2 linked regions of the Tamandua tetradactyla genome follow. The protein of the gene in region 1 binds, or shares a complex with, the protein of each later gene. Links are inferred from orthologs where the notes say so. Each region holds a gene or a part of one and is shown in the gene's direction. Other genes may lie near its edges.

Region 1 (7,285 bases):
GTCTCATTTCACTCTTCTTCCTTTTGGTCGAGAAGGTTTTCTCAATCCCTTGATGCTAAGTCTCAGCTCATTCTAGGGTTTTTCTCAATCTCCTGAGGCTGATTCTCAGCTCACTCTAGGATCTCTGTCCCACGTTGCCAGGAAGGTCCACACCCCTGGGAGTCATGTCCCACCTAGACAGGGGGAGGGTGGTGAGATTGCTTGTTGTGTTGGCTGGAGAGAGAGGCCACATCTGAGCAACAAAAGAGGCTCTCTTGGGGGTGACTCATAGGCCTAAATTTTAAGTAGGCTTGACCTATCCTTTGTGGGGTTAAGTTTCATATGAACAAACCCCAAGACTGGAGGCTCAGCCTGTAGCTTTGGTTGTCCACACTGCTTGTGAGAGTATCAAGAATTCAACTTGGGGAAGTTGAATTTCTCCCCGTTCTCACCATTCCCCAAAGGGGGCTTTGCAAATACTTTTCCACTCACTGATCGAATCACTCTGGGATTCATCGGGGCATCACTCTGTACAAAACAACAAAATCTCATGTCCTACCTGAGATTCCAAGTACTTATGTGTTCAATCAAACTATCTACATAAGTTATACTAGGAAATGCACTAGTCAAAATATAAATTTTGTGACAAATAAACATTTTTTGCTTTAGTCTCACACATAAGGTGACATTTTCAAATATTAATTACCATCTATTTTCAGCACCCTGCAGTAATGACATTCCTTTGTTCTTCCTCACGCAAAAATATTTTTAAAATTTGTACATTTAGTCACTATTATTATACACTCTAGGCATTCCTAGATTATACCATCTCAATCTTTAACATCTGCCTTTCTTTCTGATTTCATTTATGTCCCCAGCCCTCTCCCTCTATCATTCTCACATGCAGCTTCATTCAGTGTTTTAACATAATTGTGTTACAGTTAGGTAGTATTGTGCTGTCCATTTCTGAGTTTTTGTATTCAGGCCTGTTGCACAGTCTGTATCCCTTCAGCTCCAATTACCCAATATCTTACCCTATTTTAATGTCAGTTCCACCCTCTGATACAACTCTGCTCCATGGAGGCTTACGTCATCCACTTGCCCTGACCTCTCTTCCCAACTACTTACCTCTCCAATTCTGGTCCTCAGCCACAGAATGGCTTAGGCAGCCTCTGGGTTTCCTTTACACCTCTGCCTCCGGCCATCTTATTAGGGCCTTCTAGAATGGTCCATGAGACATCTCAGTTCCTTCACCATCTTTTTTCTCCACTCCACTTCAGCCAGGACCCTACCCTCACACAGCTTTTCAGCTGAGATTGTTAGTTAAGACATTTCTCTCTGATAACTTCCATCTTTTTGTCTTTGCTCCATCATTGATTCCCATTACACCTGTTCTGAGACCTTCTGATCAGTGGCATCAACTTTCCACAATTCTCTTGCATCTTTATCCAAGATACATTTGGTGACCTGTTGTTTTAAGCATTCTTAAGAGGTGAGATCTTGAAATCCTTGACCCCATCACACCTGCCTAGCAAAAGTCCTTCCTTTGACTAATTTAATTGCTCACTCCTTGTGTGCTTATATCTTTTTTAAAAATTGAGATATATTATATACTCACATACCATATAATCATCCAACTTGTACAACCAGTGGTTCACAGTATCATCATATAGCTGTGTCTTTGTCATCACAATAGAGTCTTTAAAATTTTTTTATGCTGTATGGCAGGGTCACATTTCATTATTTTTCCATGTGAGTATCCCATTATTGCAGCACTATTTGTTGAATTTTTGTTTTTTGGAAGTTCATGGAGTGGAAATTGAACCCAGGTCTCCTGCCTGGCAGGTGAGAATTCTACCACTGAACTACCCTTGCACCCCCACCATAGACTTCTGAACATTTTCATTACTTCCCCCAAATTAAGATAAGAATAAAACTAAAAATAAAAGTGAAAAAGAACACCTAAATCATCCCATACCCCCACATTAGTTATTTATTTTTTGTCATTTTTTTTTCCTACTCATCTGTCTATACACTGGATAAAGGAATGTCAGTTTATGGGGATTCCCTGGAGAACAGGGTAGAAGAAGGGGCACTGTGCAGGATTAAGAAACGACAGACACAAGATGATAGTTAAGATGGGTCAGGGGACTCAAGCTCATCAGGAGCAAGAGCCCCGAATACACTGACGCCCACATATTTATTGTGCTCTTATATGGGAACTGCTTTAGGGCATATAACCAAACCAAGATTATTTTTGAATAACTGTCATGCTTACAAAGCTACAAAGTTTGGTTCCCAGCTCCTTATCCCAGGAACCATTTATTTCTTATCAGAATGTTCTCTTTAGACCTCCTCAGACCTTAAAGTTAATATTCTCAAGGACAATTGCCACATTGGTTTACCATATTAGGAGAGCATGGTTTGCCTATACCCCGTGTCCTCTGTCAACCTCCTTGAGAACACCTGCTTCTGTAGTTTACCACATAGCAGAGCACAGTGTGTCTATGCCCTTGCTTCTGCAGTTTACCACATTAGCAGAGCACGGTGTGCCTATGCCCCGTGTCCTTAGTCAACCTCCTTGAGAACACTTGTTTCTGTAGTTTGCCGTATCAGCAGGGCACAGTTTGCCTAGGCCCCACGTCCTCAACTATTAGCCAACTTCCAGAGTCTTCATGGCTGGTCTCTGAAAGTCAGTCAGAAGGTTTTCACAATCACATCGTCTGTGTGCCTGTATCTTGACTGCTCAAACTGGCTATAGATAAATTATACAAACCATCATATTACTAACACTGTAAACTCAAGAGTTTCCATCCTCAACTGGACTCTCAACACTGTACTTGAAATCTTGCCATATTTCCCAGCACTCCAATTTGCCACAGGGTCTACTTCAAATCCATAATCAAACTTGACTAGAAGCTTCATTAGGGCAGGATCCTTGTGTGGCTTCCCCCGCCCCCCCCCCGCAACTGAATCCTCAGCGCCAAGACAGGCTTACTAGATGATAGGTGCTCAATAATTATCTGTTGAACGACAGAGAGGTAGTAATAGCGGTAAGCATTCAGTAAGTATTGGCTATTTGTCTGATTCTTTTCTACAAGAGTTGTAATATGTATTAACTCATTTAATCCTCACAAGAACGCAATGAAGTTAGTGAGGAAGTATATCATTCCCATTTTACAGATAAGGAAATTTAGAGAGACAGCTTGGAGGGATGAAATCACAAAGCTTATAAGTGGTAGAGTGGGTATTTCATCTTTATAACCTATAAATGCTTAACTGGTGCAATCGATTTCCGTTTTTGACAGGCTTTGATTTAGGTGCCTAATGACAATCAGGCAGCTGTACTTTAGGCTCAGGAGAGAGGTGAAAGTGGAAATTAAAATTGAGGAGACGACAGTATATCCACGGTGGTGGGAGCCGCTGGAGCACATAACCTGGTGAAGCAGATAACCTGGTAAGCTTGGAAAACCTAAAACCAGCCTTGTTCACACCTGTTGCTTTGGCATAGCGTCTCCAGCAGTCCCGGGATGGAAACTGGTGGTGTGTGCGCAGAAGCGCTGTGGAGCCTTGCATCTGGGTTGCTAAGGCGCATTTTGGAAAATACTTCCGAGACTAACTCTCAAGTGGAGAACGCTGTTATTGCACTGCTTGGGTCTTTTTTTCTATCCCCATTGCTTTTTTCCCACTTTCTCTAAGAGAGAGAGGCCGCAAGTACTGAGCTCCAAAGTCAGTCCCATTACATCTCACCAAGCTGTTCTTGAGGAAAAGAATTATCCTCATTTTACAGACAATAAGAATAATGAACACTATCACCTAGCATCCGCTACGTGTCAGGTATATTTCGTGCATGAGTGTATTTCAAGCATGATCCCAACCGATTCTTACAACGACTTCGTATTCTGAAGTTGAAACTATTGCTATGGATGGTAAAACTGAGGCTCAAAGAAGGAAGGTATCCTGTCCTAGGGCGCAGAGCAAGTTAGAGAGATGGCATTTGAACTCGGGTCTTTCCTGACCCAGAGGCTAAGAGGCCTCATTACTGACAGATTTGTAGCATGCCCTCAGGGCTTTTCTCTGTGTACGTGAGTAGGAAGGGTAAAGGGATTCGAAGGAGAACGCGAGGACGCTAAAGTCGATTTCAGCCCAAGATTCCAGTATCTCCAATCCAGGATTTTCCCGGGCCTAAGTGGCGGCGCATGCGTATGGCCTCCCGTTCAGCCCCGCCCCACCGGGTGGGCGCCGCTTTTCGCTTTCGGCTCTGGGGCTTGCGCACTTTGTCCCCAGCCAGCGGCTTCTTCCCGGCCGGGGACTTCCGGTACGTTGGGGAGCGGTTCCGGGTCGTGGAGCGACTCCGGGAATCCGGGCTGCTACTTTGCGGGCCAGTGGCGGCGGGCAGCGGGGCAGGAGGGCGAGCCTGGGAAGCAGCAGCTGAGCGGGCTGGGAGGAGAGCCGTTCCGAGGATCCCGAGAGTGCGGAGTTCGGGGCAGGGGCCGGGAGGACCAGGGGAGCCGGGCTCTTTCCTCTGAAACCTGTCCTGGGGCCGGCCTGGCCCACTGTGTGGGAGCAGCTTCAGGTAAAGGTTGCCTTGCCCGCTGGCTCATTCGTTCGCCCGCCAGCCCGCGCGCAGGGCCTGGCGACCCTCCTCCACTCCCCCGCGCTCCGCTTTCCGTCAGGCCCTTGCTTTTGGTTCCCCTGGGAACATCCGTTTCCTGGCCCTTTCCAGAACCGGAGGCTGACAAGACCCTGACAGCTCAGTGTGTTATTTGGAAGAGGAGAAACTAGTAGACCTGGTAGGAAGGTGCGGTTGGCCCCGGCAGTTTCTGGTCCTACACTAAGAAACATTTAGTTGACCCGATCTTCATAACGTGAAAATTAAAGCATTGCCTGTGGTCCTTGGTTCCTAACGCCTCTTCTCCCTGTCCCCCCCCCAATGGATTAAACAGTCTCCGCGAATCTTTTTTTTTTCCTAACTGAGATGTTCTTGGAACTTCGTTTCAGCTTTTTGTTTATGGAAGTGGCAAGGAGTCTTCTAGATCTGTTTAAAGTTGGAAAAAAGCGAGAAATGATTGTAATTTAAACACGAGTATTACTTTAACTGGGGACCAAAAAGTTATCTCAGAAATTGGTTGAAACTTCGTTCTGAATGAATGCAAGTAGTTTTCAAAATCCATTAAGTACCTGGCACTGTGCAAAAGTTGTGAACCAAAATGAACAAGGTCCCAGAGATCCCCAGGTGTGAAGAGTCAAACAGGGAGGCAGGTGTCTACACGCATTAGTTGTTGTTTTTTTTTTTTTTTGTCAGCATTCTCATCTCTTTTTGACAGCAGAAGGAGTGGATTCCTAAAGTTAAAATCCACTAGGGCAGGAAAGCAAAGTCCATGTTTTATTTCTCATATTCTATGAACTCATAGAAGGTGCTTAGTAAATATTTAGTGAAGAGTTCTTGATGAAGCATTGATAGTTTTCATCTTTTTCAGTTTACTTACCTCCAGGCTTACTTCCCATTCAGCTTTGTACTCATACCGACCTTTAACTACTCTGTATGCAGACTGCACTCATCACCTAACAAGCCTCCTTACCAGACTCCTGGCTACCTCTCCAACTACTCTTGAAAAGTCCCCCTTTAATTACCCCATCCTAACCCATTACTCTAGATAAGTAGGATCTCAATTTCCCTTTCTTCTTTCTTATGGCAGTTGCTTTTTTTTTTTTTCCTCACATTTTCCCTGCCTTGTAGGTTCTCCTGTTCTGTTTCCACCTATTGAGATGCTACCTATGGCCTAGCTGAAGTTGGCCTCCTTCAGCTATCTGGACAAATTCCCTGGAAATACTTTATGCTTCTCTAGAAGCATTCATTATCATTCCTACAATTATTTCATTTAGCAAACATTTACTGAGTATGGTTTAATACTCAGCACCATGTTAGGTACTGGGAACTTAAAGGTAAATTACACTCAGTCCTTGTCCTCAGGGAGCTCAATTTAGTAAAAAGAAAGAAATTCATAATGTATAACAGAGCGATAAGTACATTGAGAGTTACACTGGTGATGCAGTGGTGGCATAGAAGGGGAGGGTTTATGGGGATATAGTGGGATATAGCTGGGGAATACTTTGTAATATGGGTAAACCAAGCTTTATTGAGTGTTTACTATATTCTGAGTATTGTACATTTATTTTTCTTCAATCATTTTAACCTCAATTTACAGAATGGGGAAACTCAGGATAAATTAAACAATTAGTTTGTGACAGAGTCTGGATTTAAACCCAGGACTCTCTGATGCCTGTAACTGCTTTTTCTCTATTATGTGCCTTCTTTCTCACACCATAGCTCTCTTTGTACAAGTATATATTGAAGTATCTATAAAAAAGAGAAAGTATGAAATGCATAGAGAAGTTGGTAGTCTAATCTCTCTTTTTAAATGTATTTCTCTTTTGAAGAGTGGGGAAATTTGTTTTTCTTAGTGACTCAAGTAAAGACTTTAGAAACATATTTATATATACTTTGGGCTGAGAGAATCTGCTTTATTGAGCTTTATTGAATGTTTACTATATTCTGAGTATTGTACGTATGTTTTTCTTCAATCATTTTAACCTCAATTTACAGAATAGGGAAAGAAGAGAAAGAAGAGAATCTGTTGGAATTCTGTTATTCTCATGTATAGGCTTTGTTGTTAAGGACATGGCAATGGATGCCAAATTATTTTATGACAAGGATTTCTGTCACAGTACCTATTTTTCCCCATGATAAGTGCCTTGATCTTATTTGACTTGAGTTTGAAGTTTTTGAGAAGTTATTCTCTAAAGTTAGCACATTTTAGCTTGTTTTCAGTTAAAAATGGTTGGGCAGTTATCTTTCAGTTGTTGTTAAATGCTTTTGTATACCTTATTTCCTTTAATCTTCATAATCCTGGAAGACAGGTAGTATTAACCCCATTTAACACAAGTAGCATAAGGCTTAGCAGTTACTTTGCTCAAGAGTCACATAGCTGGTGAGTGATAGAGCCGGAAGTAGTTGGGCAAAAATGAGTAAGCAGATACTTACTCAGTTCTTTTTTGAGCATCTACCTCAGGGGTCACAAACTCAGATGTCCAGGGTGTAATACAATAAGTAGGGAGGGATGGACTGAGGTGAACTGGAGAGCATATGGTGGCAGCTGCTGTTCAGCTCCAGCTGATTGTTGTCTTGTGAGGGAGTGGGATCAGTGTCCCTGGATCTCCTTATTTTTTTTCAGGAGATGTTAGAAATCTAAATGTTGATAGTTTGTCTTAAAATTTTGCCATTTTCAAAGTTATCATGTAGGCC
Region 2 (7,148 bases), on another chromosome or scaffold:
CCTCACGGCTGACCAGCTCCAAGTCGCCTGGAGACGGCTGGGAGCAGGTGGCCGACGGGGCCCAAGGGGACGCGCCCCGACACAGCCCTGAGGATGAGGCCCCACGCCGGCCCCACTCAGACCTGTAGCCCATCCTGGTCAGGGTCACCTCCACCCACCAGCCCCACCGCATGGACCCCTCCCTAGCTCCTCTCCCCCCAGCTCCATTCCGGTCCCTCCACTCACAGCGCCCCCACTGCTGGGCCTATCCCCAGGCACCCCTTCCCTGGGGCTGGGACCTCCCCATCAGGCTCGCACGTCCCTGGGGCAGGCACAGGGTCCCCAGGGCCTGGAGCCCCCACCACCCCTGCATGCAGGACCCTCGGGGGCAGGTGCTGGGTGGGAGGGGACTGCCTGCCAGCTCGGGACCTCCACAGGGCCCAGTGGGGACACTGGGTGGCTGGGGGTGCGGGCGGGTGAGGGGGTGGCCTGGGAGCTATGGGGGGGCAGCCGGGCTTGTGGGGGACAGGGATTGGCAGGTGAGGGGAAAGGCAGCCTGGGGGTGCACATTCGGCGGTCCTGGGCAGTGCGGGGTGGCACTGAGAAAGGCCTGTGGCCCTGCCCCATATCGGTCAGGTGGGGCCCTGTCCGCCCTGCCTCCGGGGGCTGCAGGGTCTGAGGTTTCCACCTGCCCACCAGGCCGCTTGGGGCCCCTAGCACCCTACCCCACATCCAGCAGAGCCCCACCTGCCTGTCCCACGTCACAGGGCCTGTGAGGCAGTGGAGGGGCTCCTTCCCGAGACACCCACTCTGCGCTCAGCCACCCCTAGCCCTGCTGGACACCCCGCCCGCGGCCGCTTCAGCCGTCCGTGCCCTGCGCTGTGCAGAGGGTCCCCAGGCTCCACCCTCCTGCGGCCCCAGGCCCCGGCACTCACCAGCCGGGTGGGGGACAGGCCTTCCTCCAGCAACGGCCCATTGCGGCCGTCTGCGCCCTCGCTGGGTGGGCAGGGGTTCTGCGGGCCCGGCCAGCTCAGCTCCCACACGCGGATGCTGGGCGTGCGGGGCCGAGGCCCCCCGGCTGTGTCCCAGGCGGGCTCCATTCACATCCCACCTGGCGGGAGGAGCAGAGCGCAAGCTGGGCACGCCGGGGTCCGCAGCCCACCTCCCACCGGCCCCTGGGCTGTTCCCCAGCCCTGTGCCCGATGGTGGGACCGGCCGCCCAGCACACGCAGCATCAGGGTCCCCTCCCACCCTGGGGACCCGACTGATGCAACAACTGCAGCCTCAGCCAACCCAGCTCATACCCTGTCCCCGCCAAGGCTGCCCCAGGCGATCGGCCTCCCGGAACGCTCCAGCCTCTCTGGCTCTGGGGTCTCACACACACACACACACACACACACACACACACACACACACACACACACACACACACACACACACACACACACACACACACACACACACACACGGCCCAAGCAAGGGGCTTCGCTCCACAGCTCTCTCCCCCATCTAAGCCTGGGGAGCTGCAAGGATGGGGGCTGTGAGGCTGTGACCTTGGGGTACTGCGAGGCTAGAGAACTGTGATCTTGGGGGCGGGGGAGGCTGGGGGACTGTGACTCTGGGGAGCTGTGACCTTGGGGTGCTGTGAGACTGGGGGCTGCTTCTGGGGGTCTGTGAGCCTGTGGGGGCGGGTTCCACGGCTGCCCACGACTAGCAATTGAGCACCTAAACAGGCTCCACCCGATGGTCCTGAACCCTAGGCCCAGGAGCAGAGCCCCAGGCACTGCCACCATCCCCCTTGGCACCCCAGCGCTGCCCTGTGCAGTGGAGATCTGTACCTGCGGGCAGCTGCCTTCTCCTGCATGAGTCAGACATCCAGCCGGGGGGCCTCAGGCAGCACCTGCAGGAGAGAGAAGCTGCGACCCAGGCCCAAGGGGTGCCCCCGCCTCCTGCCCGCGGGTGTGAGGGTCGCTGCCGACCCGTGGCCCTCCTCACCCCGCTGGGGCTAAGAGGAGAAGGAGCCAGGCAGGCCCATGGAGCAAGTCACTGCTGCACGGGCTCTCTGGGCCCCCAGGTGAATCCCCACCCCTCTCCCAAGCCCCTTTCCTCCACACCCTGCTGGGACCCGCTGGCCTGGGGTCTGCCCGCTCCGAGCCCTCCCCACCCTTCGGGGCCTGCGCCCGGGTCTCAGCCTGTGGGGTGTGGCCTGCTCCCCGCACCCACGCGCGGCCCCGCATCAAGCAGGCGCGCCTGAGGGGGCGCGTGAACAGCCGGTGAATGGGAGAACGCAAGGGGCCGCGCCCTCGGGCCTGGGGTCCGGGTGGTCCTCACCGGCAGCCCCTCCCCGGACGCGGGCTGAGCAGCCAAGACCCCCGGCCGCGGCCCTGCGTCGGGGGGCGGGGCGCAGGGGGCGCCGGCGGCCTGGAAGTTTCTGTAGCGCCCCCCCCCCCCCCCCCCCGCCCAGCAGGTGCTCAACAAACATCTGCTAAATAAAGGAACGAATTGCCCTTTTTGATGGGTGTTGCAAAATACATCTATTTCGCCATCGTCGAACGCTCAAAAGACAAATCTTATAACTACATCTTTGCAACTGAGATTTCTTCAAAAATTTCCTGAAAGTCAGGTACAAAGAGCTGAACTGTGTGCTGAAAGGGCGACGTCTGGGTGCCGGTGACTGCGCCCTGGAAAGCAGGGGGCTTCCCGCCCCCGCAAAGGCCCTGCAGACCCCGCCCGACCCTCCCACCCCACCCGGGGCGCCAACCCCAGACCCCCTTCCAGCACCTCCTCATTGCCCCTCAGTCCCCACACGAGGCCCCTGTCCAAGAGACCATGTGGCCAGGGCCAGTTTTGGGGGTGCAGGCTCCGCGAGTGGGTGGGGGCATCCACGTGGTTTAGCCCCTGCATTATCCATTCGCTCTGGGCCCCTTCACCGCCCGTCCCGCCTCCCGCCCTCTCCTGATGACCCGGGGCCGCTGTCCCCACCCGGCCTGGCCCCTCCTGCGTGGTGCTTCCCCCAGCGCTGAGCTCCCACGGCCTTACCCAGCCACCGGCTGAGGACCCCGCCTCCCAAGGCCCTGGGCCTCCTCCCCTCTCGTCAGCGCGGATGCCCGGGCCATGGCGGCACAAAGAGCGTGAGTGAGGTGTACGAGCTGGGACTTGGGGTGCAACAGGGAGGTCTGGTAGAACAGCAACCTGGCTCTGCTCTGCGGGCCAGTGCATAGCTGCCGCTGCCACCGAAGTTCCTGTGGGTGGCCGGGTCCGGGAGCAGGGGGCAGCGGGCAGGAGGTGCACACAGCGAGGGACCAACAGCAGGGCGGCAGAATGGGACCAGACCCCACACGCTCAGCGGACCCTCCGTGGCGGGCTTGGCCCAGCACGCAGCTGGGAGGGCGGGAGGGCGGAGGCGCGGCGCAGTCCCGGCTGGCCGCCTTGGTTGGAGGCAATTCTGGTGATCCGCAAGCAGAGTGACCAGATCTCTCACTACTCCCGGGCTCCCAGTGTGACCCCCTCCCTGGCATCCCCTTGGGATGGTGCTGCCCACCTAACCCGCCCCCCCACCCCGACGCCAGCCCAGGGTGATGGGAAGGGCACGGGCCAGGGTGCTATGCTTCCGCGGGCGCCTCTGGCCGGAAGAGGCCGAGCGCCGCCCAATGTGCCCCCGTCCCGCCCTGGTCTCTCTCATGTGCGCCCCCCATGGAGACCCCCAGAACAGAATCTGGGCCCCAGCCTTTGTCTCTCCCTCTCAGGGAAGACCTGACCGCCCCCCCCCACCGTGACCCTAGGGACTAATGCCGGCCCCACCAGGACACTGCGTCCTACTCGCGCCCCTCGGCGTCGCGCAGGGGCGAGGCCTGAGGTCCGGTCCGAGGGCGCCCTCGGCTCTCACCTGGGGATGCCCCCACCGCGGGGCTTTCGGGGAGTCGGGCTGTTCTTCCGCCCGGGGGTTGCGGGCCCGGGCTCCATGGCAACGGGGGCGGGGCCACACGCCACCAAGCCTAAGCCGCGGGGATCCCCCGCCGCGGAGCCCGCGGCTGAGCCACGCCCCCAGGAGCGGTTGCTAGGGCCCGCCGGGCCGGGGCAGTGGTCGCGACCCTGCGCGGCCCGGTACACGCGTGGGAGCCCTCCCCCAGGCTCTGTGCCCCGCGCGCCCGCGGGGGAGCGGGGTGGGAAGGGAGTCGCCATCGGTTGGAGGGGAACCGGGAGGCTCGCGCGCCCCTCTCTCCCAGGTGGGCAGGTCGCCCGAGATCCCCCGGGATTTACCTTCCGCCGCGCAGTGCGAGCAACGCGACGAGAGGGGGCGCGGCGGGGAAAGGACCCTCCTATCCGAGAGAAACCCAGACCGCACCCCGGAGCGCCCATGCGCCCCCGCGTACACCGGCGCTCCCCCGAAACTGGCTCCACGCCCCGCAGCGCGGGTGGGTAGGGCCAAGGTCGCGACGCGGGGGACGCGGCCGTGCGCGGGAGGGGCCAGGCCGGGGTGGAGAGAGTGGCCCGCGGTGTGCGCCCTGGGGCCTCGGCCGAGACGTCAGCGGCTCCTGTGCGCTGGGAGGGCGGCGGGACGGGAAGCCCCTCCGCAGTCCTTCCCCTTTTTTGCTGAAAGAAGTAGGGTGTATTCGTGCAGGACCCCAACGTTTTAGAATACGTTTAAAGTTTCTATTTGAATCGTAAAAAAGAACGCGCGCTTGCGCTTGCGGGAATCTTGTCCGTTCGCCCCCCGGGGCAGCTGTTCGGGTTGGACGTGCCCAGGCGCCGGAATCGGGTGTGCCGTGAGCCCCGCGGGCCGCAGAGGCGCAGCCGGGGGTGCGGGGAGCTGCGTGGGCGGAGGCGTCGGCAGGGCCGGGCTGGGGCTGGGGGCAGCGGGAGACAGGAAAGTGCGAAGCAAGGGCCAGCGTAGGCAAGAGCGCGCGCCGAGACTCGTCCCCCGACCCCGGGCACGGCTGCGGGGCGGGGCCGCCTGGACCGCAGAGACTCGTCCTTCCGCCGCCCTCGCTCTCCCGCGCCCGCGGAGTCCGGCTCCCTAACCCTCCACGACCCCGAGACCCCGCTACGAGTGCGACCCACGCCCACGCCCACGCCCACGCCCACGAACACCACTGGAGCTCGGCCCCGCCCTCCGCGCCGCTCCAGGAAGTCCCGCCCAGCCGCGGTTTGACCGACGGGCCGTTCAGCCAACCGAAGCGCGGTCAGGGCGGAGGCGGCCTTGGGGCGGGGCAGGGACGTGCGGACCAATGGTAGGCCGCGTCTAGTGGACGGACCGACGCGGGGCGGGATCTTGCCGGGCGAGCCAGTAGTGGGCCGCTGCGGGATGACGGACGGACGCAGGGCGGGGCGTTCGTGTGCCCGGCCGAGTCGACGCCGACGCCGTCCGCGCCTCCCGCAGCCGGAGCCGCACCCGCCGCGGAGGGATCCCATGCGCGGGGCGCGTCGCGTTCCCGCCCCGGCCCCAGCCTCCGCCCCGGCCCCGGGGGCAGACGCGTCAGTGGGCGGTGAGTGGCAGGCGAGGGCCAGGGGGCCGCGGCGCGCGGTGGCGTGGGCCTGGCGCCCCTCCCCCTCCGAGGCGCAGGCGCTTCCCCCGAGCAGCGGGCGGGGGCGGCGGGGAGTGCGGCGGGAGCCGCGCCCCACCTCGCCGAGGGCGGGAGGCCAACTTGCTAGTTCTCGGTCTGGGAGGCTGCGGCGGTGGGTGGGGGTACAGGTGAGCCTCGGGGTTCAGGAAGGGGTGCAGGGGAACCTCGGGATTCGAGTGGGAGTAGATGGGTGCCTCGGGGTTAGGGTGAAGGCTGCGGGGGAGCCTTGGGGTTCGAGTGGGGGCTGCAGGGGAGCCTCGTAGTTCGAGAGGGGATGCAGGGGAGCCTCGGGATTTGGGGGGTTGCAGGGGAAATCGGAGTTCGGTTAGGGATACAAGTGAGCCTCGAGTTCGGGTGGGGGTGCAGGTGAGTGTCGGGGTTTGGGTGGGGGTGCAAGGGAGCCTTGGGGTTCGGGTGGGGTTCAGGTGATCCTCGGGATTCTGGTGGGGGTTTAGGTGAGCCTCCGGGTTCTACTAGGTGTACAGGTGAGCCTCGGGCTTCACGTGGCGATGCAGGGTAGCCTCGGGGTTCGCTTGGCTGTGGAAGGGAGCCTCGGGGTTTGGGTGGGGGTACAGGGGAGCCTCGGGGTTTGGGTGGGGTTCAGGTGAGTCTCGGGGTTCATATGGGGGTACAGGGGAGCGTCGGAGTTCGGGTGGGGTTCAGGTGAGTCTCGGGGTTCAGGTGGGGGTACAAGGGAACCTCGGGGTTTGGGTGGAGGTACAGGGGAGCCTCGGGGTTCGGATGGGGTTCAGGTGAGCCTCCGGGTTTGGATGGGATACAGGTGAGCCTCGAGGTTCGGGTGGGGTGCAGGGGAGCTTCAGGGTTTGGGTGGGGGTGCAACAGAGCCTCAGGGTTCGGGTAGGGGTTCAGTTGAGCCTTGGGATTCGGGTGGGGGTTTAGGTGAGCCTCCGGGTTCTGGTGGGTGTTCAGGTGACTGAAGCTCAGGCTTCAGGTGGTGGTGCAGGGCAGCCTCAGAGTTCGCTTGGGGGTGAAAGGGATCGTTGGGTTGGGGTGCAAGGGAGCCTCCACGTTCAAGTAGGGGTGCAGAGGAGCCTCAGGGTTTGGGTGGGGGTGCATGTGAACCTCCGGGTTTGGGTGGGGTACAGGGGAGCCTCAGAGTTCAGGTGGGGGTACAAGGGAACCTCAGGGTCAGATAGGGGTGCAAGGGAGCCTCGGGGTTCAGGTGGGGGTCCATGGGAGACTTGGCCATCGGGTGGACGTGCAGGTGAGCGTTGGGGGTTGAGTGGGGGTGCAGGGGAGCCTCAAAGTTCGGGTAGGGGTTCAGGTGAGCCTCAGGGTCTTGGTGGGGGGATTAGGTGAGCCTCTCCGTTCTGGTGGGGGTACAGGTGAGCTTCGGGTTTCGGGTGGGGGTGCAGGGGAGCCTCGGGGTTCGGGTAGGGGTGCAGGGGAGCCTTGGGGTTTGGGTGGGGGTGGAGAGGAGGCTCAGGGTTTGAGTGGGGGTGCTAAGGAGCCTCAGGGTTCAAGTGATGGTACAGGCTGACACGTGTGTGCCATTGGGGGTATATGTGGGGTTCAAGGCAGTGCCTCAGTTCTGACTGTTCCCTTACTCTTGAGGGGTTTCTTAAGTACTCTCCTGGGATGGGG

What was found. Proteins that work in one complex are often made in the same cells at the same time.
Region 2: the proteins of MAPKAP1 (region 1) and HRAS are in contact, whole or in part, in a crystal structure (PDB 7VV8), measured with the Homo sapiens proteins. The link is inferred for Tamandua tetradactyla from reciprocal best matches to the Homo sapiens genes MAPKAP1 and HRAS. Residues at the interface, in NP_001006618.1 of Homo sapiens: Glu277, Ser278, Phe280, Ala286, His287, Gly288, Phe289, Ser290, Leu291, Ile292, Gln293, Arg311, Arg312, Lys313; in NP_001123914.1 of Homo sapiens: Gln25, Asp33, Ile36, Glu37, Asp38, Ser39, Tyr40, Arg41, Leu56, Glu63, Tyr64, Met67.

Annotation. Positions count from the first base shown.
Region 1 is NC_135328.1:47,965,947-47,973,231, reverse strand, and holds the start of MAPKAP1 (target of rapamycin complex 2 subunit MAPKAP1), read left to right. Parts: upstream 1-4,246; 5' UTR 4,247-4,297; intron 4,298-4,307; exon of another isoform or gene 4,308-4,555; intron 4,556-4,625; exon of another isoform or gene 4,626-4,780; intron 4,781-7,285. UniProt on the Homo sapiens protein: Component of the mechanistic target of rapamycin complex 2 (mTORC2), which transduces signals from growth factors to pathways involved in proliferation, cytoskeletal organization, lipogenesis and anabolic output.
Region 2 is NC_135335.1:395,745-402,892, reverse strand, and holds the start of HRAS (GTPase HRas), read left to right. Parts: upstream 1-4,125; 5' UTR 4,126-4,205; intron 4,206-5,368; exon of another isoform or gene 5,369-5,465; intron 5,466-5,599; exon of another isoform or gene 5,600-5,671; intron 5,672-5,821; exon of another isoform or gene 5,822-5,909; intron 5,910-7,017; exon of another isoform or gene 7,018-7,148. Other genes in the region: LRRC56 (leucine-rich repeat-containing protein 56), read right to left, coding at 915-1,079. UniProt on the Homo sapiens protein: Involved in the activation of Ras protein signal transduction. Ras proteins bind GDP/GTP and possess intrinsic GTPase activity.